Tamandua tetradactyla: one gene and its partners. The protein of the gene in region 1 interacts with the protein of each later gene in a pairwise test. Links are inferred from orthologs where the notes say so. Each region holds a gene or a part of one and is shown in the gene's direction. Other genes may lie near its edges.

Evidence for each region.
Region 2: the proteins of ARL15 (region 1) and UNC119 interact in binary tests that used the Homo sapiens proteins (3 or more experiments, as listed by UniProt). The link is inferred for Tamandua tetradactyla from reciprocal best matches to the Homo sapiens genes ARL15 and UNC119.
Region 3: the proteins of ARL15 (region 1) and PDE6D interact in binary tests that used the Homo sapiens proteins (3 or more experiments, as listed by UniProt). The link is inferred for Tamandua tetradactyla from reciprocal best matches to the Homo sapiens genes ARL15 and PDE6D.

The regions. Positions count from the first base shown.
Region 1 is NC_135335.1:100,504,798-100,513,145, reverse strand, and holds the start of ARL15 (ADP-ribosylation factor-like protein 15), read left to right. Parts: upstream 1-4,831; 5' UTR 4,832-4,938; coding exon 4,939-4,986; intron 4,987-8,348.
Region 2 is NC_135332.1:51,779,044-51,786,953, reverse strand, and holds the start of UNC119 (protein unc-119 homolog A), read left to right. Parts: upstream 1-4,148; 5' UTR 4,149-4,260; coding exon 4,261-4,486; intron 4,487-7,792; coding exon 7,793-7,906; intron 7,907-7,910. Other genes in the region: GPI-anchor transamidase component PIGS, read left to right, coding at 4-149, 792-892, 1,669-1,879, 2,244-2,519. UniProt on the Homo sapiens protein: Involved in synaptic functions in photoreceptor cells, the signal transduction in immune cells as a Src family kinase activator, endosome recycling, the uptake of bacteria and endocytosis, protein trafficking in sensory neurons and as lipid-binding chaperone with specificity for a diverse subset of myristoylated proteins.
Region 3 is NC_135329.1:207,759,072-207,767,285, reverse strand, and holds the start of PDE6D (retinal rod rhodopsin-sensitive cGMP 3',5'-cyclic phosphodiesterase subunit delta), read left to right. Parts: upstream 1-4,932; 5' UTR 4,933-5,131; coding exon 5,132-5,181; intron 5,182-8,214. UniProt on the Homo sapiens protein: Promotes the release of prenylated target proteins from cellular membranes. Modulates the activity of prenylated or palmitoylated Ras family members by regulating their subcellular location.

The DNA.
Region 1 (8,348 bases):
AAGTTTAGCCATGGACAAGGAAAGAAAAGAAATGAGTGGAGATGATCTGATGGAAAAGTTAATATTGATGTAATCAAAAGAAATGGAAACCAAAAGTAAAATAGGAGATGACACACTATGGGAAGAAGAACACATGAGAAATAGCTGGACTGTGTAGAGATGGAAAGGACTTTAGTTGCTGCATCTGAAAGTTTTAAGTTATCAAATTCGTTTGAAAGTTGAGAGGTTATCCCCAGTTTTCTGATGCCAAGTCATTAATGAATTATTCTTGTCTCTGGAAGAATGGAAATATTTACTTTTTCTTCATATCATAAGATAAATGTTGCAGGTTGACTAATGGCCCCCAAAGATATATAGGTCCTAATCCCAGGAACCTGTGAATGTAACTTTTTATGGCAGAAAAGACTTTGCAGTGTGATTAAATTAAGGATCTTGACACAAACGGGTTATCTGGGTGGGTCCTATATACCATCTAGTCTCCCAGAGGTAGAGGGAGATTAGACTACAGAAGATGAGAGGGTAGTATGACCACAGGGGTAGAGATTAGAATTATTCCTCAAGTCAAGGATCGTTGAAGCCAGTAGAGGCAAGAAGCTGAAATCCAGATCATGACTCAGTCTGAACTTCTGGCCTCTAAACTCTAAGAGGATAAATTTATGTTGTTTCAAGCCACTAATGTGTTGTAATTTGTTACAGCACCAACAGGAAACTAATACTGTCAGCAGTGCAGTGCCATGTCTAAGATGCTAATTAAACTTGGGGACATACCGAAATGAATGCATAGCTTCATGATACTTGGTGTTTATAAGGTCTAATCACCTTTTCCTAGTATAATTATTTACTCTTGCTTTAAATGGTGAATTTTCATTTTAAGTGTCTTTTGTTGCTGTAATACTCCAATACCCAGCAAATCCTTTCTGGGAGAAAAAAGGATAAGTCAGTGAACCTGGACTATAGATCTCTAGATCTGGAAGTAACCCTTAATTGTTCAGTGATTAGTCTAACTCTATTCTATAGCTGTGTAAAGAGAAGTCCAAAAGGAATAGGTGACTTACCCAAACTCATATAATTAAGTAGCAGCAGAAGTTTATCATGACTTCAGGCCACTGAGCTTTAAAGAAGAGATGTATGAGACTTGAGCATCTACCTGTAGAAGAGAAAATAGGTTTCATTTGACATAGAGATATTTTAAATTTTAAATTTTCTAACTACAAGAGGTCCGGGAATTGAACCTGGGTCTCCTGCATGAAAGGTGATGATTCTGCCACTGAACCACCCATGCCAGAATATCTTAATCTTAATTCTAATCTCTAACTTTGTTCAATCTCTTCCATTTAATAATCACATACTGTTAGCAGCTTTATGTGGGAGCACTCTGCTCCAGTAAGGCTCATCTCCTAGGAGATAGTCGAATTTTGTTTAGGTTTAGGAAGTAGAGGAGGGGTCAAGAAGAGGTAAAGAAGGGGTAAAGCAGAGGTGGGGGTTAAGGCAACCCTGAAAAATAGGGACAGGGCTCAGAAGAGAATTTGAAGATCATAGGATTTACAGGAGGCAGTAAATGAGAAAAGCGCCTGAATGACTTCTGCAGAAGTCCATGTACAGACACCTCCATTTTTCTGAAAAAGGGGTGTCCATAGTTTAAGAGTGATTCTAATGAAAGACATGTCGCTTAGCTATTAAGGAATAATATACTCAAAGAATGCAAGGATCAAAGAAGATAAACACTCCCTACTTTGGAGTTTGGAGTAGGGGGAAAGAAGACTATAAGCTAATACAAAAATGAGTATTAAAAAGCATTTTAAGGGTGGGCCACAGTGGCTCAGTGGCAGAATTCTCACGTGCCGTGCTGGAGACCCAGGTTCAATTTCTAGTGCTGACCTATGTTAAAAAAAAAAAAAAGTAATTTAGCAATTTCATTTCTAATAATTTTTCATAAGAGTTTCATATGGTGAAGTTAACATATTAGGTCAACGTGCATGACCCAAAACTAGTAAAGACAGTGTTCTTCTGTAAGTTAATATATTCATCAAGCAAATGAACAACAAAAAGACTTTATGGAAATAGCCACTAAGATATTGATTTGGGGGCATGGTAAAATTTAGGGGACCAATTTGTAAAAAATGCAGTTCTGTTTTTGTTTCCTACGAGTGACATTTGAACAAAAATCTGGTTAGCCAGCCATCTTTGCAGAATTGTAGAGTATGGACTGTCAACAGAGTTTCCCCTTACTTTTGACAAGCAGCATAGATGGCCTCGTTCCTCCGGAACTGTGCAATACCATTGTTCAACAAGTCTATACATGTTTTCCTATGCATTTGGAAGAGGGGCGTTCTTTTTACGGAGGGCAAAGGCAGGACTAGATTAATGATACCATGTCTTATTCAAGACTGCAGCTCATTACTTGGTATATAGTGGAGTAGGTTGAATGAATGCATTCTAACCTCTGTACACTCTCTTTAAAAGCATGCATTTGAGTGATTACAGTTTTTGCTATCAAACCTATCAGCTAATACCACCATTTCATGTAGTATTATCTATTATTAGTGGATAGTGTATTATCTGTTCATACCAACACAGTCAAGTTAGTCTCTTCTCTACACAAGGATGGATCCATTAATACCCTGAAGATTAAAACCTAATTTGAAAAACTGGGCTCCATATAGAGTTCTGAAGCATCAGGTTTTTTACCAAGACACATTTTGAAATGTAATACACAATTGTTAAAATATAAACTTGCAACATATTAAATTCCCCTTTTTAAGAGCTGTTGCATTTCTGGTAAGTGGCATTCTGGCAGCTTGCAAACTAGAACACCTGCTTTGAACTGTCTAATCAGATGGTCAAGTGTGACCCTTGTCATGACAAGTGCATGGTCTGTTGCATGCTTTACGTGGAGATGCCCAAGGACATGAATGCCACCATTGCCACAATCAAAAAGAAGCGTACCATGCAGTTTGTGGACTGGTGTCCCGTGGGTTTCAAGGTTTGCATCAACTACCAGCCCAACAGTGGTTCCTGGGGCGGGGCCTGGCCAAAGTGCAGCAGGCAGTCTGCATGCTAAACAACACCACAGCTGAGACCTGGGCCTGCCTTGACCATAAGTTTGACCTCATGTATGCCAAGAGGGCTTTCGTACATTGGTATGCGGGTGAGGGTATGGAGGAAAGGGAATTCTCCCAAGCCCGAGAGGACCTGGTTTCTCTGGAGAAGGATTATGAAGCAGTGGACACAGAGTCTAGGGACGGTGTGGATGAGAGGGAGGAGTTCTAGGGGGTCCTGGCACCTGCAGCATCCTGTCTTCCCAGTTTTGTATCTCTCATTCCACTGTTTTCCCCACCCCTCTACAAATACAGTGAATGTCTCAAGTGAAAAAAAAAAAAAAAAACTGGTGTAGTTCTCATTTCTCCACTGAATGAACATACTCAGGTAGATTAGATAACATACCCAATACGTCATATGGCTCAACAACCTTAAGCCCTCTCTAAGGAGCTATATTCCTTTCAAGGTTAGCTGCAGAGTTAGGTGAATGCCACTGTTTTCTAACAGTAGAATTGCATTGGTAGCCTGAGAAATCTTATTGTTTGGAAATTCAGTACCTGGGAATACAAAAAGGGAAGGTGCAAAGTTGGGGGAAAATAATTCAACTTCAATCCCTAAATCAACATTTGAATACATTTAAAAACCCAGAAAGGTTTTAGCTAAAGAAGTTGCACTCGTGAAATATTATTGTATGGAAGCACTAATTATTAATACAAGTGAGAGCAATTTCTTCATTCTCCTTTCTCCTTAAACCCTGGAAGTTACCCAATCACCTGAGCCTAGTAAGGTAGGTGTGTCTGGCACTTATAGTTATTCAAAAGGCTGAATCTTCAATTACAGCCTCGAGAGTTCTTACTCGGCTTCTTGTCAGACTCAGGCTTTATCAGCTTAGCGTACTTTTGAAATCCAACTCCAATTCCCAAGTTATTCACCAGGAAAAGCACAAGTCTCAAGTCCCTCTGCTCATAGGTACTTTCACTTCTTCAAGTAACGCGGGCCATAGTACATGACTCGGGTCTTTTCAGAGAGCTTCTTATGCTCCTGCTAAATTTTATACAGGGGCATTGGATTTGTAATCAGTGTTAAGTGGATTCAAAGTGTTGAAAGAATTCTCCTTCCCAGTGTTTGGGAACTGCAACTGACTGTACCAAATCTCCAAACTTTTTTTTTCTTTTCAGGAGCTGGGAGTTTCTGATAATACCTCGTCTCCCGAGTTGCTCCAGGCTGCGATGGGAACGTGTGTGCGCCCCCAGGGGCATCAGGCTGACGTTGCTCACCTTAGCAGTTTCACGTGATGAAGGTGGGAGGGGTCTTTCCGCCCCCAAGTCAGGTGGAGTTTTGTCTGTTCACGAAGAATGCTCCTACACCCTTCTTGTCCCTGCAGTATGTCTCGTGGCCTCAGAGCCTTTAGGAAAACGCTCCTGAGAGAAACATTAAGTGTCGGCGACTACGTTCCTCCCACGTTAAAGTGCTTGCTTCTACTGGGGGACTGCAGCCCAGGGTTCTGTTCCCTCTACCTAATCTGAGGCTACAGGAGCACACAGCATTCAGGCGGCAGTATCTGGCGATTTTCCGCTTTTTCTACGCTCGTTCTTCCGCCTGCGCCTCCCCAGCCCACGCCCCTCTAGCTCATAGACACCTACGGCCTCGCCTCTCCCGCGCTTCTCACCAGCCTTCAGCAAAGGCCTGCCTTTTATAGGCACCTCAGCCAATGAGTGCCCTCCTTTCCCTCTGCTCTCCCGCCTGGCCAATCGCCGCGCCCCTTGTGTAATCTTCGGCTCTTCGGCTGCTCTCGGCTATTTTCGCTGTTGCTGGCTTTTCAGGGGCTGATCGCTCGCAGTCAGAGACGCTGCTTTTTTTTCCGGGTTCGGAGCCGTTCCGGATGCTTTAGGCTGCCGGATGTCTGATCTCCGGATAACTGAGGCGTTTCTGTACATGGATTATCTGGTAGGTGCGGGGCAGGGGTGGCGTGTCGCCTCTCAGATCTCGGCGTGCCCTATGTCCCTCCGCCTTGAGGAACAGCCTTTTTGCTTTCTTTCTTTGGTATGGGATGCCTTTGGGGTTCTTTCTCCTGCAGCGGCGGTAGAGCTTGCCCGGGGCTTGGAGAGGCGGCAGCCGGGGCAGCAGCGCAGCAGGGCAGGGGGGTGGTGGAGCCGACAGGTAAAGGTGAGGCCGGGGCCAGCCGGGCTGCCGGGCTAGGGCAGCGCTGGGGCTGTCCGAGAAATGGGGCTGCGGGCGGCGGGGCGTCCGTGGTAGGTTTCTTTGCTTCTCCGCAGAGGACTTTTCTTTCCCGGGAAGCCGGAGTTTTCTGCTTTCCCTTCAGGACTCCAGGTACTATTAAAGAGCCATAACCAGAATGGCTCACTAAGTGCCCGGCAGCCCCAGTCATTTGGTTGTTATTAGATCTCTAAAGCTATGACCTCGGTCGCGGCAGGGTTTTAAAAGCACATTACCATAAACGAGACTGGACTAAACTACATCGCCACCTGGCCGGAACAGGACTGTCCCGCCGTTCAGGTTGCGGGTGCATGCCGCTGTGCACGGGATTGATCCTAGCTGTTCTTCTAGGCCAGGCTTGTGCTGAGTTTAGGTGGGAAAAGTGTCCGCACAGAGTTGGGACCTGGACATTATTTTGAAAGTGGATTTGTATATATGTTTGTGGAATTATGAAAGCGTCGTATGTTGTTCCAGCGATTTCATTTCCCCAGAGTTGCATGTTTGCGGTTAGAGGGATCCTCATTCTTACACTGGCTGTGTTCCCATACAATTTCCATGTTTACCTTCCAAGCTAGAACCGCTATTGCAATGCAGAGTTGAAGTGGAGAGTTAAAACATTGACCCTCCTGTCATCCCCTGGGACACATGCATTGATTTTCGACTGCGGATTGGCCTGGCAATTCTAGGAGATTCGCCAGTGCCTTCTAGGAATTACACTTAAGACTGTGAAATGCTTTAAATGAAAGACTGTGAATGCTTTTCTGATAAAAATGCGCTGAAGGAATTCTGATTTAGTAATTTATTTAGGCTTATACATTAGTTTACTTGAAGAAAATGTTTCCCCTAAAGCTTCATGGCTTGGTGATCTTGTAGGAAAGGATGGTCATTGCACTTAATGCATGTAGTGAATAGAGCGCACTAAAAGAGCCAAAAATTCTGAGTTCAGATTTTGTTTTGTTATTCTGTTGCTGATGGTAGTAACTTCCTCCATGCAGCTCACCCCACTACCTTTAAGGGGATTATCTGATTTGGAGGGTACTTGATTATGCGGAGTGCCATATAAATTAAGAAACTTGCCAGATAGATCCCAAACATTATTTTCTAAATTGGACAAATGATTAATTTGTAAACTGTCTTGTAAGATACAGTATGTTGATTTTTGTCTTGCAGTATGCCTAAATTAAAGCCCAGTAGAATTACCGAATATGAAAGGATGACATTGCCTATAATGTTGAAAGCTAATTTTGGGTATTTAATTAAATAATTCCTGAAAATAAAATCAAGTGATTCTGATCATTTTATTTTCTTTATTTACTGTGTGTGTGTTAAATCTACATATTGCCTCACAGAGGCTGTCTTTAAGTGCAAATGCACCCAACATTTAGGAATAGAGTAATGGAAATACTGGTTACTCAGGTTAATCTCTAAATGGGTGTAGTCTAAGGAAAGGTGGGTGGATGAAGCTTTGTGGAGCTCAATGTTACCCTAAAAGCAGATTAATTTCTTTGCCAGTTTAGGGTCAGTTTTATGTCAAAATCCGTGGGCCTTCTTGTCTTATCTGCCATGTTTCCCTACATACTAGTTTTGCTTTCATAATACGAAAATTATTATTCTGTTACTTTAACTTTGCTTTTTAATAAATTCACAAGTGCAGTGAAACAGTCCCATAAGAAATGACTAACATTGCTTGGGTTATCACTGAAAGTGAGGAAAATATTTTAAAGCAAACAGTTCACTTTTATGAGGGTACTACATATCCTTTATCAAAAGATTAAAGAAATGCCAGAGACCTGGGTTCGAGTCCCAGTGCCTGCCCATGCCAGGAAAAAAAAAAATAAATAAAACCTTTAAGCATTAAGACCTATTTTTGCTGAAACTAAGACTGGAAAAATAAAAAAACAAAACTCAGCTCTCCTGAGGTGGTCGTTTTGTATAACTTTCAGAGAAAAGGATGTACCACTCATCATTCATTTCTTCTTCCTTTCAGAGTGACTCCTTTGCTAAGACATTATCCTTGTATGGCATTTATTGAAAACTTATTTCCAAAAAATAAAAATCAATTTCTTTGTGTCTAGGATCTTATTTTTAGAATAAGTCAATTCTCAAGCTCCTTTATGTATTCCTCCCCCACTCCATGTTCCTTTTAATTCTAAGTTTGATTCTTCAGAATTTGCTAATCTTGAGGACGAGATTAAATGTCCAGTCCATGCACTTGACAGGAATCATTGGTGTGTTGCCTTTTCTTTCTTTCTTGTTTTAGTCGTTTTTTACTATCTTCTTGTTGTTGCTATTGGAAGCTGGAAGAGGGAGCTGTGTGTGTGCATGTACTGTCCATTGTTCTTTCAACTGGATCTTATCACCTTTTTATGTGGAGGAGAGTGGAAAGGAAGAGAAATGAGAGAAAGATGGAGATGCTATTTTTAACAGCTTTTAATAGGATTAAATTATTAAAGCAGATGAAGAAACCTCTCATTTTAGAAGTTGCTGATAATTTCTTATCTTAATTTAAAAGAATGTTCTCAGAAGATAGGCAAGGTAAGGGACAGTACCTTCATATTTAAGACAAGGTTTTTATTCACTTCAGTTCAGGGAAATAAGTGGTTACTTACTAACTGTAAATAAATATAAGTATCACCCAGTGCTTCACATGGTTCCTGGCAGGTATTCAGGCCCAGAATTCATTTATTGCACTGAATCAGTATGAGATGGGAGGGACAATTCTACTTTTCTCACCAGTTTCTAAACAAGACAAGATAAAATCTGTTTGGCTTAGGTATTTTGTTCTGGGGAATGCAGAATGTATCTTTTACTCTTAACTTTAAGATTATCAAGATGTGGTTTATTTAACCTGGGTGGCAATTGAAAAATAAGTCTCTGTTTTCCATTTGATAAGGGACCTCCCTAGGAAGGCCACACATCTTTTTTCTCATCTTTTTTCAGAGTGGGGTTTATTGACAATGTTCATATCTGTCAAGTCTATTGGTAAAGGTTTTGCTGCTGTTCCAACAGGCAGGACCAGCATCTGGCTCCACCTCTCTTCTGACAGGTAAAGCTATTAAGATGGTGTGCAGAGCTTTTGCATAAGGTAGAAG
Region 2 (7,910 bases), on another chromosome or scaffold:
CAGGATCCAGCGCTGCTTCTCTTTACCCTGTGCTCAACTTTTTACTCTACGTGCCTGAGCTTGCCCACTCTCCCCTCTACATTCAGGACAAGGACGGGGCTCTGGTGGCCACCAATGCCTTCCACAGCCCCCGCTGGGGTGGCATTATGGTAATAGTCACACTGCATACCCCAGAACTCAAGCTTCAGTGACAGAGAGATGTTCCCTGAGACTCTTCCTTCTGTTGGTGGAGGAGGGGGAGGCACCAGCTATAGGCACCAAGGCAGTGAGGTGCTCTGTGCTCATTCCCTTCCTCAACCTGCCCCACTGTTTCTTATCTCTGTCAGTGTTTTATGTAATATGACCTTTTGCACTTACTTAGGACTATTCTGTGTACATTTTTTTTTTAAACATGGGCAGGCACTGGGAATTGAACCCGGGTCTCCAGCATGGCAGGCAAGAACTCTGCCACTGAGCCGCCGCGGCCTGCCCTTTGTATACATTTTTAATCTTGGCCCTATGTGTGGGAGGCTTGCAAAGTTGGGAATTTTTGTCTCCCAACTTTAGACTAGGAGTTCTTCATAGGTGAAAACTCTAAAATGAGATAAAAATATCATTTTACAGGTCTTTTGAGGGGATAATTGAGATAATTTATGTAAAGCTCCCAGTAAGTGTTAGCTGTAGCTTCTAAAGGACAGAGACTGTCCTTCCTTTCTCTGTGCACAGCTCTGCACATGGTCGCCAGGGGTGTCTGGGGCAGAACTGTGCACATTCCTGGCGTGATGGTGTGGCAACCTCATCCCTCCTTTCAGATATACAACGTAGACCCCAAAGCCTACAATGCCTCAGGGCTGCCGGTGAGAGTGGAGGTAGACATGGTGCGGGTAATGGAGGTGTTCCTGGCTCAGTTGCGGTAAGGTCCCGGGTGATCCACTTGGGGGCATGCCACTGAGAGTCTAGCGACAATCTCCTTGACTGTAGAGGGTGGGAATTTCAGATCAGAATGAAATCTCACCTGGCAGGAATACCTTGCTCGGAGAGGTTTCCAAAGATTGCATCTTCCTTTTCCTAAGAAGGTCTAGTTGTGGGACAAGCTCCCTTTTAAGAAAGGTAGACTCATGAATGTCAGGTCCATGAGGTGTGATTAGGGGTGCTTGAGGAAACAGCTGTTAATTCTTGTACTGAGTGATCGATGGATTCTACGGTTGTTTCTGAGTTCATCAAGAAAGAGTATTCTTCTGATCGATTAGCAGTGTCTACCCTGGGTGCAGAATTAGAGAGGCACTGCACCCAAGCCTTGTCATAGGTGGCCCTGGATCATCCCTTATCTCTAAGTCCCAGGGGCCCGTTTGTCCAAAGAGAGGGTAGAGAGGGTGAGGGGATTAAACTAAATCAGTATACTTGATCAGATATTTTTTAGCCATGGAACCTTTTTCAAGTAAGATCTTGGAAATTCATATATAGAAATAGGTAAAAGTGGAAACACTGGTTGAAGTAGGATTTAGGGCTCTGATTCCTGGGTTTTGCTGCTGACTCCCCAGACCCAGACCCTGAGGCACTTCCCCATAAGCCCTGTGGTTCTGAGTAAGGTCAAGAATCTGGCTTTGGGGCAGATATTTGAGGAATCTTAGCTGCCTTCTACCACTTTCTCGTATCAGCCATCTTGATCTTACTTTTCTCTTCCTGCAGGCTGCTCTTTGGGATTGCTCAGCCCCAGGTGCCTCTGAAATGTCTGCTTTCTGGGCCGAGGAGTGAAGGGCTAATGACGTGGGAGCTGGACCGGCTGCTCTGGGCTCGATCAGTGGAGAACCTAGCCACGGCCACCACCACCCTCACCTCCCTGGCCCAGCTTCTGGGCAAGATCAGCAACATTGTTATCAAGGATGATGTGGCATCTGAGGTAAATGGGCATGGGGTGGACTTTGTGGCCTCAGAATCCAGCGAGGGCCAGTGTGTGGTGAGACCAAAGAGAGCCAGTTCTCACATACCACCAGGGCATGTGTGGGCCTGCCATCCTTAAGTGCCTCAGTGGGCAGTACCAGCTCCACAGCAGGAGATGAAATGGGAGTATGAGATTTTGAGCAGGGAAGGAGGTGTTTGATTGAGAGGCACATAAATGGGGCTTGCCCGGAATGACTTGTTCGTCTCTAGCCTCCTCCACTGCCTCTAAGAAAATACCCCCATAACCTTTCACATACCTTATGCAAACTGTAGGCCCTGGTAGACAGAAGGCACACTTTCCACTGAAATGCTCCTATTTCTAGGTGTACAGAGCGGTAGCTGCAGTCCAGAAAGCGACAGAGGAGTTGGCCGCTGGACACCTGGCCTCTGCCTTCACTGCCAGCCAGGAAGCTGTGACATCCTCAGAGCGTGCCTTTTTTGACCCCTCACTCCTCCATCTCCTTTATTTCCCTGATGACCAGAAGTTTGCAATCTACATCCCACTCTTCCTGCCCATGGCTGTGCCCATCCTCCTGTCCCTGGCCAAGATCTTCTTAGAGACACGCAAGTCCTGGAAGAAGCCTGAGAAGATAGACTGAGCAGGACAACATCTCAGTAGGGACTCTTCTTTTCTGGCCAGGGTGGGAGGTGTTTGATTGAGAGACTTATAAAGGGAGCCTGCCAGGACGACTTGTTTGTCTCTAGCCGCCTCCACTGCCTCTCCAACAACCAAAGTACAGCACTCCAGGATGGGTTCACCTCTCCTCTTGTCCCATTTCCTGGGCTCCATTTTCCCCCATCACCCCACTCCTCAAAAAGTGGCATCATCTGGGTCTCCATATCTGACTTGAACTTGAAGGCCCCTGCTGACTTCTTTCTAGGCCAGGGGCAGCTTGTGACTCTGTCCTGTTTCTCAACATGGCACATTCCTCTCCTACCAAGAAGGCAATGTTAGGGGAAAGCCCTGGGTTCCTGGGTTGGATCCCCCGACTCAACACTTCTCTCTGATCCCTCCGGGAGAGCCCCAGCACTGCTGTGATGGAAGGGCCAGGCATAGGTCACTTCTGGGGCCTCCTCCCCTCCCGCCTGGCTGGCCATGCCTCTTGGTACAGCCAGATAAGAGTCCAGAAGACAGCAAGCAGCTCAGGACCTAGTGCTGTGTGTGTGGGAGAGATTCCATTCACCCACTTAGAAAGGCAGTGTGGTACAGTGAGAAAAGTTCTGGACTTGGAATTAAATAGGCCTGAGTTTAAATCCTTTCTTCTGCACTTGTCATCTGTGGAGCTTTTGATAAGCCACTTAATCTCTCTGAGCCTCAGTTCTTTGCCTGTTAAATGGCACTAATGATACCTCTTTCACTAGGTGGTTATGAGGATTGAACGAGGTAAAGCATATAAAGGTATCTGGCTCATACTAGGCTCTCAATAAACATTGGTTGAATATGAATTAGAATCATGTGAAGGATGGGTATACTTTGAATTCTTTCAATCACGTGTAAGTGACCGTTTCCTGGTATCTACCCTCCTGGGTTCACAGGCCTGCCTCACCTCCACCTGGCCATGTGCTTTGCCTGTCTCTGTTCTGTAGGGCAGGACACCTGGGTTGTTATCTCTCTGTGCATACTGGGTTGTCCAACAAGGCTGCTGCAGCTATTTCTGCATCTTAGCAAAGGCTCTGGGAGAGAATCAGTGAGTACTAACAAATATTAATTCATCAGTTAGTAAAAAGCAAATTTATAGAGCACTGGCTTTTCTGGACACTGCTTGAGGCTGGGGGTATATGGGGAATGAAGCAGACAGGTTCTGCTTTCACAGAGTTGATCTTTTAGGGAGAAGGGTCGGGGAGCAAGTTAAAATAACTTCAGGTAACTGTACTAGAAAGAAAAAACAGGCTGATCAGATAGCAGCTGGGGTGGGGGGGAAGGGTGTACTTAAAAGTGGGACTGCTGGGGGCCTTTGAGCAGATGGCATTTGAGCTGGGACCAAGTGGACAAGAAGAGACCATATAGGAGAAGAGCGTCGCAGGCAAAGACCCCGAAGGCTGGGACGAGCTTGATGGGTCAAGGGCAGAGTGACTGGCGCACAGCCAGGAGCTGTAGGGAGAACCCCCTGAAACATCTACCGAAAGAATGAAGCCCAGGGAGAGCGTCGATCCGCCGCGCCGCCCCCTTTCCGCCGGGCTGCGGCGGGTGGGCGGGGTTGGGTTGGGGCCCACCCCGGTGGAGGGGCGGAGCGGTACCTGGGGCCCCGGCCGGGGGCGGGGTTGCGGTCGCTCCCCTTCCCCGGCTCCAGCCGGCGCAGGCAGCGGTGGCGGCAGTAGGAGCCGCGGGCCTGCGAGGCCATGAAGGTGAAGAAGGGCGGCGGCGGCGCCGGGACGGAGGCGGAACCGGCTCGTGGGGCTTCGGGCCCAAACGTGGAGCCCAAGGCCGAGCCAAAGCCGCCGGCGGAATCCGAATCCGGATCTGAGTCAGAGCTGGAGGCGGGCCCCAGGCCCCGGCCAGGGCCGTTGCAGAGGAAGCAGCCGATCGGGCCGGAGGACGTGCTGGGGCTGCAGCGGATCACTGGCGGTGAGCGCCGGCGAGGGAGCGCCGCCCGCGGGCGCGAGAGCGCGCGGGCAGCAGGGCCCTGACGGCGCACGGAGCCCCGGCCCCCTTTCCCGCACCCGGTGCCCCTCCGCGTCCCCCTCCCCTACCTTTATGCCTCTTCCTTATGGCTCCAAGCCTGAGGTTCCACTGTCTCCACTTCCCTTGATTACCCTGGGAGTCCCTTCTCTCTTTTAAATGTTTATTTCTTCCCCACCGCTTTCTTTTTTTGAGAGTCCTATTCCCTTTCTCGTGATGGAGGTGGGGCAACAGTTGCAACCATAGCCCCTTACCCATGCAGTCCTCAAGAGCCCTTTGGGGCCTGTCCCCAGTCCCCGCCCCTGAAAAAATCGAGACCACCAAGGGCTTCCTGACAGCAGAACCCTCGCCGGAGATCGTGTAGGAAGGCTGGGGCCCCGGCGGCATCCCCCTGGCCTGGAGCAGAACTGAGCAGGACGCTTCCGTGGGTTGGCCCCCGTCCCTACCACGGAGTGGGTTCCTGCCTCCCCCCCCCCCCCGCCCCCCCCTCCAGCGAGGAGCAGGTTCTGTCTTCTACCTGAGGCACTCATGGAGCTGCGGGGAGGGTCTCCACTATGAAGTCTCTGAGCTGGACAGCTTGGGTGTGTTACAGCTTTGCCATGTCACTGGCTGTGTAACCTTGGGCAAGTAACTTCACCCCTCTGAGCATGTTTCTACATCTGCAAAATGGGGATAGTGGCTCCTACTTCATAGGGTTATGAAAATCGAATGCTCTGCACAGTGCTTGGCATGCTGTAAGTGCTCTGTAAATAGGACCTTTTTACCTACAAGCCTGAGGGCTCAGCAGAGCTGCTGCCTGGAGGCAGGCAAGTAGGCATTCAAAACAGAGGAACAAGTCACTAGGAAGCCTCATGGCAGAGTTGGTGGTTGAACTTTGAAGATTGGGTGGCATTCAGACAGGCAGTGGATCTGGCTCCCTCTGTCAGAGGGTGGGGCCAGGGGTCCCTCCCTGTGGGGATGGAGTGCAGGTGCTGGAGAGGACCTGAGCCCTGCAGCCTGGAGCTGCAAGTGCAGCATCTGTGGAAGGGCCATGATGACATGCCTGGGCTTGTGCACCTGGGCCCCTGAGGGCCCAGCTCCCTCCTGTCTGAGCCAGATAGCGGCCATTCTTGACTGGGCCCCTGGAGTGCTGAGCTCCTTTGCCCAAGTAGGCACTGCTGGAAAACCAGGCTGACGTCGGTGTCAATTGCAGCCCAGTTGGTAACAGCATCTTTGAAGATTCAGCTTAACTCTGGGGCAGAATTTTAGACGATGTCAGGAGGTCTGTCTGACCCGAGTCCTGGGGATGTTTTGCAACTTCAAAGGGCTTCCTGCCCACATCCCACGAAGTCACCTAATCTGGGGGGAAATTCATAGCCCTCAGAGATGGGGCATCTGTGGGCTGTGAGTAGGGGAAGTGGCTTCATGGGAGCCCTTTCCTCTGCAGAAGCTGAGAACCCCAGGGGATGAGAATGCTCTCAGGGCTCTCTGCCTTGGCACCCCCTTGTCTCTTCTGACCCTAATCACACTGGCCTGAGGTTAGCAGTTCCTGGATTATCAAACCCAGAATCCAGCTTAGGGAGCTATTTGTGGCTGAGGGGAAGGGAACAGTTGTGGTTTTAGCCCTCAGTCTCTTTGCCCTTTATTCTGGCCTGACCCTGGGTCCCAATCCTCATCACTCCCTGGCAGAAGGGAGGGAGTGGCTGTGGTATTCTGAGCCATGGGTGTCCCCCAATCTTCATTTCCTGTAAGGACAGAGGGCTTGGTATATCGAATTTACAGTAGAAGAGAATGAAGTCAGACTGCAAAGGTTGTTCCCCAGTGAAAAGCTGGAGAGTGAGGGGAAAAAGGGGAGCCTTACCAGGGGCTGGAAGTTGGACAACTAGAACTCTGCTTCCACCTCTCCCACGCCTCTCCCTAGGCCCTGTACCTTTTCTCTACATCTTTAGACTAGTGCTAACTTTCTATGAAAATCAGTAGGAGGAGGGGCTCCCTACTTCCGTCCCCCTTCCTTTACCCTCCAAGCTGTGATTGACCCTGCCCCAAGCTTTGTGTCCCACCCCACCCCCGCTGGGCCCCAGGCTGTCAGCAGAACTTGCTGGCGGGGTCTGCCCCACGCTTGGGAAGAGGCGAATGACTTTACATTCACTTCCTCTTCCTGTCCCAGAGGAATAGAAGATGGCCCAGGGGCCTAGAGAGTGATTTCCGGGGGATGGGCAGCCAGGGGAAGATGTGCTTTGTGCACCCCCACCCCCCACTGTGCCTCTCCTTCCTATTTGTTGCTAGGGCCTCTCCTAGCAGAGCACTTGAAGTTGCTGCTACAAGAGCAGGCCATGCCCCTCGTTGTTCCTGGTTTCCCTCCTGGGCCTGAGAACAACCCCCCACCCCCTACTGTCCCTGCCACACCTTCACCCTGGCTCGGCCTGTGCTTTTCTCTGTGGGGGCCAAGGTGAGGGAAGCTCAGAACCTGGGCTGGCCTAGATGATCTTTGAGGGGGTTCCCTCAGCTTGCTAAGATTTCCCCCTTTTGGACATCAACCAAGAGTGGGGTCAAAGTTGTTCCCCTTCCCCCCTCCACAGTTTTCCAGGCTCTTGGGCTTGAGTCAGCAGAGCTTTTGCTAAGCTGCTTAAGAGAGCTGGGCTTCCATAAGCCGCTTATGGGAAAGCAGGGGGTTGAGGGGGAGAGGTGTGTAGTGAGGGGGCACAGAGAAGGAGTGATTCACTGGCCCCAGGACCACCCATGTTCAGGAATGTCCCCTCAAGATCAGCCCAGCCTGCCACATCTACATGTAGTGGGTCAGGGGCAGCTATGGGCTGGGATTGGGGGACTTCCTCCAGAGATGGACTTTGTGTCTCCCAAGGCAGAGGTGCACCAGCCCATTTAGACTGAGGTTCCTGAAGGTTGGGCCTTTCTCATGGTGAGGGTTTATGCTGGAGAGACCCTCTGGCAGAGCCAAGCCTGGAACAGAGTGCTCCGCTGCAGGGTGGGGGGAAAGGTGGGGGAGGTGGCCTTGCCCTCCACCCACTCTGCCCCTCCCTGACACCCAGAGGCCTCAAGGATGGGGTTTGTTCCCCATAGACCCCAACGACAGAGCTCTGTCTTCCCTACAGTGTGGGGCTCCTCCAGGGCAGGGTTTCAATTTCCTCCTTCTGGAGGGCAGTGATCCTAGGAATTAGAGAAAGTAGTAGCTACTCTGGGGTCCCCCAGAAGCTGGGCTGGCAAGAGAGCCTTCTGGGCGGGTTTCTTCCTTGCTCAGCTGCCTGTCTCCCCTAGATTACCTGTGCTCCCCTGAGGAGAATATCTACAAGATCGACTTTGTCAGGTTCAAGATTCGGGACATGGACTCAGGCACTGTCCTTTTTGAAATCAAGAAGCCTCCAGCCTCAGGTGA
Region 3 (8,214 bases), on another chromosome or scaffold:
CAGAGCTGCTCAGAGCCAATATAGACCTTTGGAATTTGAGACAGAAATAGCCCCGGTGCTAAGTAAGGACTAACAGAAATAGTCAGAACCTGAACAGAAGAAATCTCAGGCCCTGGCAGATGCTAAGTTAAGAGATGAAACCCAGAGTTTTGCCCCCGAACATCTAAGTGAATGCCCACAGACACTTAGAGAGGAAACCACTGGCACCAGAAGCTGGATGCAATGGAACTGGGAACGAGGACCAAGGACCAGCAGATACCAGCCACGTGCCTTCCCAGATCACCCTTCCTTGAGCCAAGGTATCTTTCTCTAGATGCTTTAGTTAGGACATATTTATGGCCTTAGAAGTGTAAACTTGTAACTCATTAAATTCCCTTTTTAAAAGCCGTTTCATTTCTGGTATTGCTTTCTGGCCGCTTAACAAACTAATACATGGTCATTCGTTTGTCAATTCAGCAGTAAAGAAGGCATTGTGCTAGACCACTTTTTGGAGGCCAGAGTGAGGAAGGGGAGCAAATAGACCCTGAGCACGGATGATTCTTTCCACAAACTTGGGTGTGATGGACAAGAGAGAGCAACAGCTAAAGGGAAGGAAGGCCAGAAACATAAACATGAGTACATACATAGAGTCAGAGCTTGAAGAAACCACACCAAAACTTCAATGGGGGTTTTCTCTGGGTGATGGGAATATAAGTAATTTTTTGTTTCTGACTTCTTCCACATTTTCTACTAAGGTTTTATTTTGATCAACGACGTTTCCTTTAAAATGTAAATATCTCCCCAGAAGATTTTCATCTATTTACACTTCAGTATCAACTATCCAACTGAGGCACTTTTTACCTTCTCAGAAGACTACCCAGGCCAGCTAAGGTGAGTGGAAGGGAAATTTGGCCATTGGAAGCCACAGCCGGATCAGTGAGTGGGAATTAATCCTTGAACAGGAAAGAGCTAGTCTACAGGTCAGCCAGTTAGAAGTTATCCTGTCCTTGCGGGGCTGTAGGGAGATGGGAAAACCATACTTACCAGAACTTCTCCCAGGGAGAGTGCTAGGGTGGTTGAAATGCATCTTTTTTTATTTTTTTATTTTTTACATGGGCAAGCACCAGGAATTGAACCCGGGTCCTCGGGCATGGCAGGCAAGCACTCTTACCTGCTGAGCCACCGTGGCCCACCCTGAAATGCATCTTTTGATGGGCTCCTAGAGTGGAGGTGGGAAAGGTGTTAACCTCTGCTCCTCCCCAAGCTCTAGTAACCATCAGTGGTTACTAAACTGCCTTCTAGGAAGGGAAGAAGCTTCTATAAACTACATGTTGTTTTGTTTTTATTTTGGTTTTTTTGGGAGGAGGGAGGAGTGGATGCATGGTCCGGGAATCAAACCCGGGTCTCCCGCATGGAAGGCGAGCCTTCTACCACTGAACCACCAAACTACATGCTTTCGTTTTGGGTGAGTGGGACCAGCAAGAGCTGTACTTGGTCCTTCTCCTACCCTGCTCGGTACTTAGTGCCTGCACATAAATGACCTACAAATAGTCAAGACTGTGCAAAGGACAGCTCCCATCCATCCAGTCATTCTCAGTTCATAAACATTCTGGCAGTGACTCCTCTTCCTCTGGAATAATGTCCAGACTCTAAGGCTGCAGTTAAAATCATTCATAGTGAGCCTTTTCCCCTACCCTTCCAGCTGTCTCCCAGCACCCCCTTCACAGCCCAAACTCCAGGCCTTCCCATACCCAACACACTTGCACTTTCCCTCTCTGACACCAAGACCTATGCTCAAACCTGTTCTCGTCTATTTGCAAAGCTCTTCTCTAACTTGCCTGCTAATATCCTACTAACCTTGTAAGCAAAGATTTCTTAAACTGGATGAAAAATCCACTAACCAAAAAAGAAAACACTGACCTATCGCTCTACTTGAAATTAAGAATTTCCATTTATTTAAAACATTCCAATAAGAGAGTGAAAAAAAAAAAAACAGTTGGAGAAGATATTTGCAAAGCATATGTCAAAGAACTCGTATCCAGACTATATAAATAACTGCAAAATCAAAAAGAAGACAATCCAATTTAAAAAAAAAATGGGCGTGAGACTGTAACAGGAACTTCACCAAAGAGGACATGACCAATAAGTATATGGAGAGGCAATTACCATAATGAAAGTGCAAATACACAAACACAGGCTTTATAATGATTATATGGATACTTTGTTTAAATATGACCATGGTTGAGCTAACTAAAATGTCTACTTTTGTTGGTTCTAAACGTATTGTTTGTTTACTTAAATAAAAAATACATAAAAAAAAGTGCAAATACTTTTTAATGAGAAACCATGTTTAGCCAAAATGGCTAAAATTTAAAAGATCCCGTAGTGACAAGGGTAAAAGGCAATTAAAACTCTTTTACATTGCTGTTGAAGGCTTAAACTGGTGCAATCACTTTGGAAAACAATTTGTCAATAACTAGTAATAACGATCACATACAAACTCTACAGCCAATAACTCCACTCCGAGAAATGAGTGTACATGTCCGTAAAAAGACACATATATTTAAGAATGTTTACTGCACTGCAAGAATATTTCGTGGCTGGACGAAAGCCGGAAGGCTGGTGTTTTTAATCATCAGTTAGTTGATTGCATCTGTGGCTGATCACATCTGCGATCAACTAAGGCATATCTCCCACAACGAGATAATTCAATCAGTTGAAGGCTTTTAAGGAAGAAGAGAGACTCGCTGCTTCTTCAGCCAGCGAGCCTCTCCTGTGGAGTTCATCCAGACCCTTCATCAGAGCCACCAGCTTCACAGCCTGCCCTACAGATTTTGGACTCTTCCATTCCCATGGTTGTGTGAGACACCTTTATAAATCTCATATATACAGGGGAAAAAAAGAATGCTCATTGCAACTTTGATAATAGTAACCAAAAACTGATAACAACCCAAATGTCCTTTGACAGAATAGGTAAATAAATTGTAGTTTATACATTCAATGGAATACTGCTCAGCAACAACAGCAAAAATAAGCTACCACTGCACATAACCTGGATGAATCTTCACAAGAATACTGATGAATGAAAAAAGCTAGACACAGAAGAGAATTTTACTGTATGATTACATTTAAATGTAAGCCAAGAACTGACAACTAATCTATGGTGGTAGGCGTCAGAATAATGGTTATCTGGGGATGGGGGTGAAGTTCTGATTGGGAAGGGGCACAAGGGGTGCAAGAAATGTGCTATATCTTGATTTGAGTGATGGAGAGACAAGGGTATACAAATGTGAAAATGTCTCTTAGTAAACGTCAGTTTCCCTCAATAACTGAAAAATTTAAAGATAAACATTTTTTAAAGTAGAAAATTTCACACACCCTTCAAGTTCAAATGCTACCTCTGCCATAAACTTTTTTTCTGTTTACATGGACAGGCACTGGGAATTGAACCCGGGTCTCCCCATAGCAGGCGAGAACTCTTCCTGCTGAGCCACTGTTGCCTGCCCTGCCATAAACTTTTGATCAGTTGTAATAAATCTCTCCATCAGAACTTCTGTAGCATTCTGACATCATTCTTTTCTGCCATTTCTCACACTTCACCTTGTATCTAAATGAAGCTCCCTATTTCCCTAACTAGGAGATTAGCTTCCTGGTGGCAGTGGCCAAGTCTTTCACCCTTAACCCACACATAGCAGCTGGTAAATAATGGAAGCTGAAAACATTTGTTTGATTACATGGAAGAAAAAAGATTGGGTGGGTGCCCAGAGGGGTGAAGGGGTAGGGGGTGGGGAGACAGGAATAGGAAGGAAGGCTTAGGATAGAGAAGTCCTCCTAAGAAACCCCTGCTTAGACTGCAGTTTTACTTAGTTCCTGAAATTGCATTAAATGCCAGTTTGAGTGACAACTGATACCAAGACTCACTTAGACTAAAGATAAACAATCACACTCTTTCATTTGCAGGTAATTCGCTAAATAAATACTTGCCTAACCTCTGGGTGTTTCAACCCTGTATGGGAAAACTGTTCAACAAGGCCAATCACATAGCCATTCTCCTAAAAATATCACCATGCTAGTGCAGTGCTAAGAGCTCAACTGGGCTCAAGGGGCTTAAAGCCGAATTCTAACTCTGCCTCAACTTACTTGATCTGCGGCCAGTCTCCTCTCCTCTCCAGACCTCAGTTTCCTCATATCTAAAACAAGGGATGGATCAGCAATTTTTTTAAAGCCCCTTCACGAATATGAGTTTACAATAGATAGCTCTACCTCCAGTGCAGGACATACCAGAAACCCTTAAAAGCCACGTAAAAGGCACCCCAGACCGGCAAGTAAGCACGATTTGAAGGAGTTTTGTTACGTATTGGTTTAATCATTATTTTTGTTGTTTGCAGTCTTACCACGATTTGCAGGAGCTGTGAAAAGAAGTTAACTCTCCTTGTGCTGTCATCTTCATTGGAGGGTGAAGAGGACCTTCCTGCCAGGTTTCAAGGCTCGGGATTCAGAAACCATGAAGCTAGCTGGCGGGTTTATGAATTTATGCACAGTGCCGGGCACACTGGGGTCTAAATTACACAGAAGCGGAGTGCAGAGAATGCTGGGAATTGTAGTCCCTGGCCTCTGTTGCTTGCTGAGAACTGTGATCCCCGGTCGCGCCCGTGGAGTTCTGGGAAATGTGGTCTTCATCACACCGCATAGTTCAACTTGCAGTCACCTCAGAGCCCTTATCGGGCCCAGAGGCGGTGACAGTTCCCTCGAGCTTCTTCAGATGATGTGAAGTCAGCCCGCCTCTGGGGCAAACTCCAGGCAACACCGAATGAAAATTTTGTCCTAAGGGACTTCCCGGGGAGGGTCCTTCCCATTGACGCTTACCGTCCCCCCCGCGAAGCCGCTGAGTGTTTTTATAGGCTGGCCAGGATGCCAATCGTCGAAACCGGCTTTTCATTGGCTTTGGGGTGGGCACTCGGGGGCTAGGGGAAGGAGAAGGGATCAGGAGCGGGAGCTGAGGGAGAGAGAGAGGCCGGTCCAGGTCGGGCCGCTGCCGCTGCTCGCCCGAGGACTCCAGGCCCGGCTGTGGCACTGTCCTCGGTTCCTGGGCACCGTCTGCGAGGCTCCGCTGGGCCAGCATAAGAGAGCTGCGGGAGGCGGGCGCCGCATCATGTCAGCCAAGGACGAGCGGGCCAGGGAGATCCTGAGGGGCTTCAAACTGTATCCGCCCGGGAGCGGGGCGGGGCCGGGAGGACTTGGGAGACGGCAGCTCCCTAAGGAGATGGGCTGGGGGTGGGGGCCGCTCCAGGTGGACACCTGAGCTGGAGGGGAGCGGGAAGGGAGAGGAAGGTACAGCGCCCGGGGAATGGGGCGTCCTGAGGAAGGAAGGGGACGTTGACGGGAGCCCCGGGGGTGGAAGACGGAGGAGCCCGGGAATTGGCTGGGAGGGGTGCCGGGCATCCGAGACGGGTGTCGGGGAGACCAGTGTGGTTCCGAGCTCGGGCTGGGACCCAGAGGCAGAAAAGGGGCTGCAGCCCGGGGGAAGGGCCGAGGGGGGCGCGGCAGGCTGGCCTCGAAGCTTAGAAGCCCGGTTGGCAGGAAGCCCACCGGGAGAGAGGGCAAGAGTGACTTGCGGCGAGTGACTTTGTGTGGGACAAATGCCAATGCTTGTGCTAAATCTCTCAGATCCCCCTACCCCACCACCTTCGTCTGGTTTCCACAACTTCTCTTCCTCACTTGTGGCTTCTTCCAGGGCCCGAGTAGAGGAAGTTGTGGAAAGGGAAGTCCGAGACCAACCTCATTTCAGCTCTCTCTTGGTCTTTTGAGGCATTGGATGCTCACTGCTTTTCCCCTCAGCTTTTCACTTTTCTTTCCAGAAAAATGAAGACCACGAACTTGCGTGAGCGATGCTTCGAGGTACTTTGGTTTTTGCCTTGGGACGCCTAGCAAAGGTGTCTTTGCTTGCTCACTTTTGTGGTAAATGCCTGGACCTGGTGGTGCTGTCCAGCAATTAAACATGGTTAGGTTGGGTAGAATAGATAAAAATCATTGCCTCAGGCTTGTAGTGATGCGACTTTTGCTACCTTCTCTCCTTAATGCAGTAAGGGAGCTTTGTGTTTTAATGAGGTATCCATCTGTAACCATATGATGCAGATGAAAAAAAATGCAATCTTGTATATTCCGATTATGTATTTTCCTGCTGATCTTAATCTCTTCTTACATCCTATCCATTCAATTCCTTTCTCAGTGAAAATGCAGTCATCACCTTCTGGCTCCCCCACTGGAAGTTTAGTGAAGTCTTGTGCAGTTCTCCAAGGTGTCTGTTGGGTTTTCACAATGCCCATTTCACTCCAATTAAATTGTGTTGTCATAATTAGAAAACAAGTTGGTAACAATTTTTAGAACACAAAATGTAGGAAGTTTTGGATGTATAAATGAAATTTTTCAAATGGAAGTGGACTGCTCTGCTTAAAACAAAACAAAACAAAGCAAAAATTTAAAGTTGTATCACCTTTCATTCATGATAAACTTTCAGTACGTTTATGTAGTGAATCTTAGTAACAGCCTTTTTTATAGTTCCATGGATCGTTCCATGTTTCTCTTCATAATGGAGCCTATAAAAAGAAAGAAAAAAATTTACTTTTAAGTATTTTATATTGCTATTTAACATGTATGGTTTAGACAAGTAAGTTGGAGACTGTGGAGAGTTGGGAGATTTCAGAAGCAACTTTTTTGACTGATTGGAAATAATTTGTTGCTAAAAACAAGAGGGTTTTAAAAATTATTATTATTGCTTTTGAACAAAGCAGAAAGGGAAATTTGGCGCTTCTCACCTTCTCTTGGCTTTTGAACCAGTTGAGTAGGAGGCTAAGGAACAAAGATGGAAAAAAGTAGAAACAGAATCTGTGTTAGCCCACTAGAAGGGAAGATGAATTAACCAATACAGTCATGACACTCGTGTGCTAAGAAACAGGCTCACAGGAAAAAAAAAATCAAAAAAAGTTTGATTTGAGCTAACTAAATCACAAAGCACAAGGGAAGCAGCCACTTAAAGTTAGCATGGAAGCAATGAATTGCACATCCATCCTCTAGTAACCTTTATGGCAACTGAAAATGAAGAGAGAAAAGGAAAGGAGTTTTAAGATTTGCTATTAAGCTTTAGAAAAAAATAAAATTAGTGTTTTGGTGAAAAACAACCAGACCGTTGGTCGACTTCTTTTTTTTTTAACATGGGCAGGCACTGGGAATCAAACCCAGGCCGGTGGCAGGCAAGAACTCTGTCACTGAGCCACCGAGGCCTGCCCTGTTGACTGACTTTTAAAGGAGGGTTTTTTTTTTTCTTTTGCAAAACAGTCAGGAAGGGCAGGGTCCTGGAATTAAACCCAGGTCTCCAGCCTGGCAGGCGAGAATTCTACTACTGAGCTACCCTTACCCCACTGTTGGTTGCCTTTTAAAGTATAAATTGTTTTTTTGAACTTTGTTTTGGAGTATCTGTTTCTATAAGAATAGTTTATTACTAAAAACGGGAAGCTCCATTTTATTTTCCCACCAACAGTGTTGACAATACTCATTCCCCCCCATTCACTACATCAGTCTTTTTTAATTTTGCTAATTTGGACAACCAATGATATCTTGTTTTAATGTGTGTTTCCCTAGAGTCCTAAATCCCTGGAGAGCTAATAGATATAGTAGTTAAGAGCTATACTGGACAAGTGTTGAGCTGTTCTACATGCTTTGGTATCCTAGTTTTGTGTCCTTAAGCAACTTCTTTAACCTCTGCCTCACTTTGCTCATCTGTAAAATGGGGATAATAACAGTACCTAACTTACAGGGTTGTGATGATTAAATGAGTTGATAATCTAAAGCATTTAGAAAAGCACCTGTTGCATACTAAGCATTATGTGTTAGTTACTATTATTGAGAAATTGCAAATCTTTTTCTGTATTTGGCCATTTCTTTTTTCTTCTGTGACTTGCTTGTTAATTTTGTTTTTGCCTATTTTACTATTGAATTGTCTTACTTCCTCTGTAGGTATTCTTTAAATATTTTAAATATTTTAATATTAACTCTTTGCAACATTTATTATAAATTATATATTATAAATATATGTTGCAAATATTTTTTTCTCAATGTGTTCCTTTTCTCTTGTGTGGTTATTGAGCAGGATTTTTAAATTGACATGTCAAATATCAATATTTTTAATATAGCTTCTGTATTTTGTGTCATGTTTTAAGATTATCCATATCTAAGCTT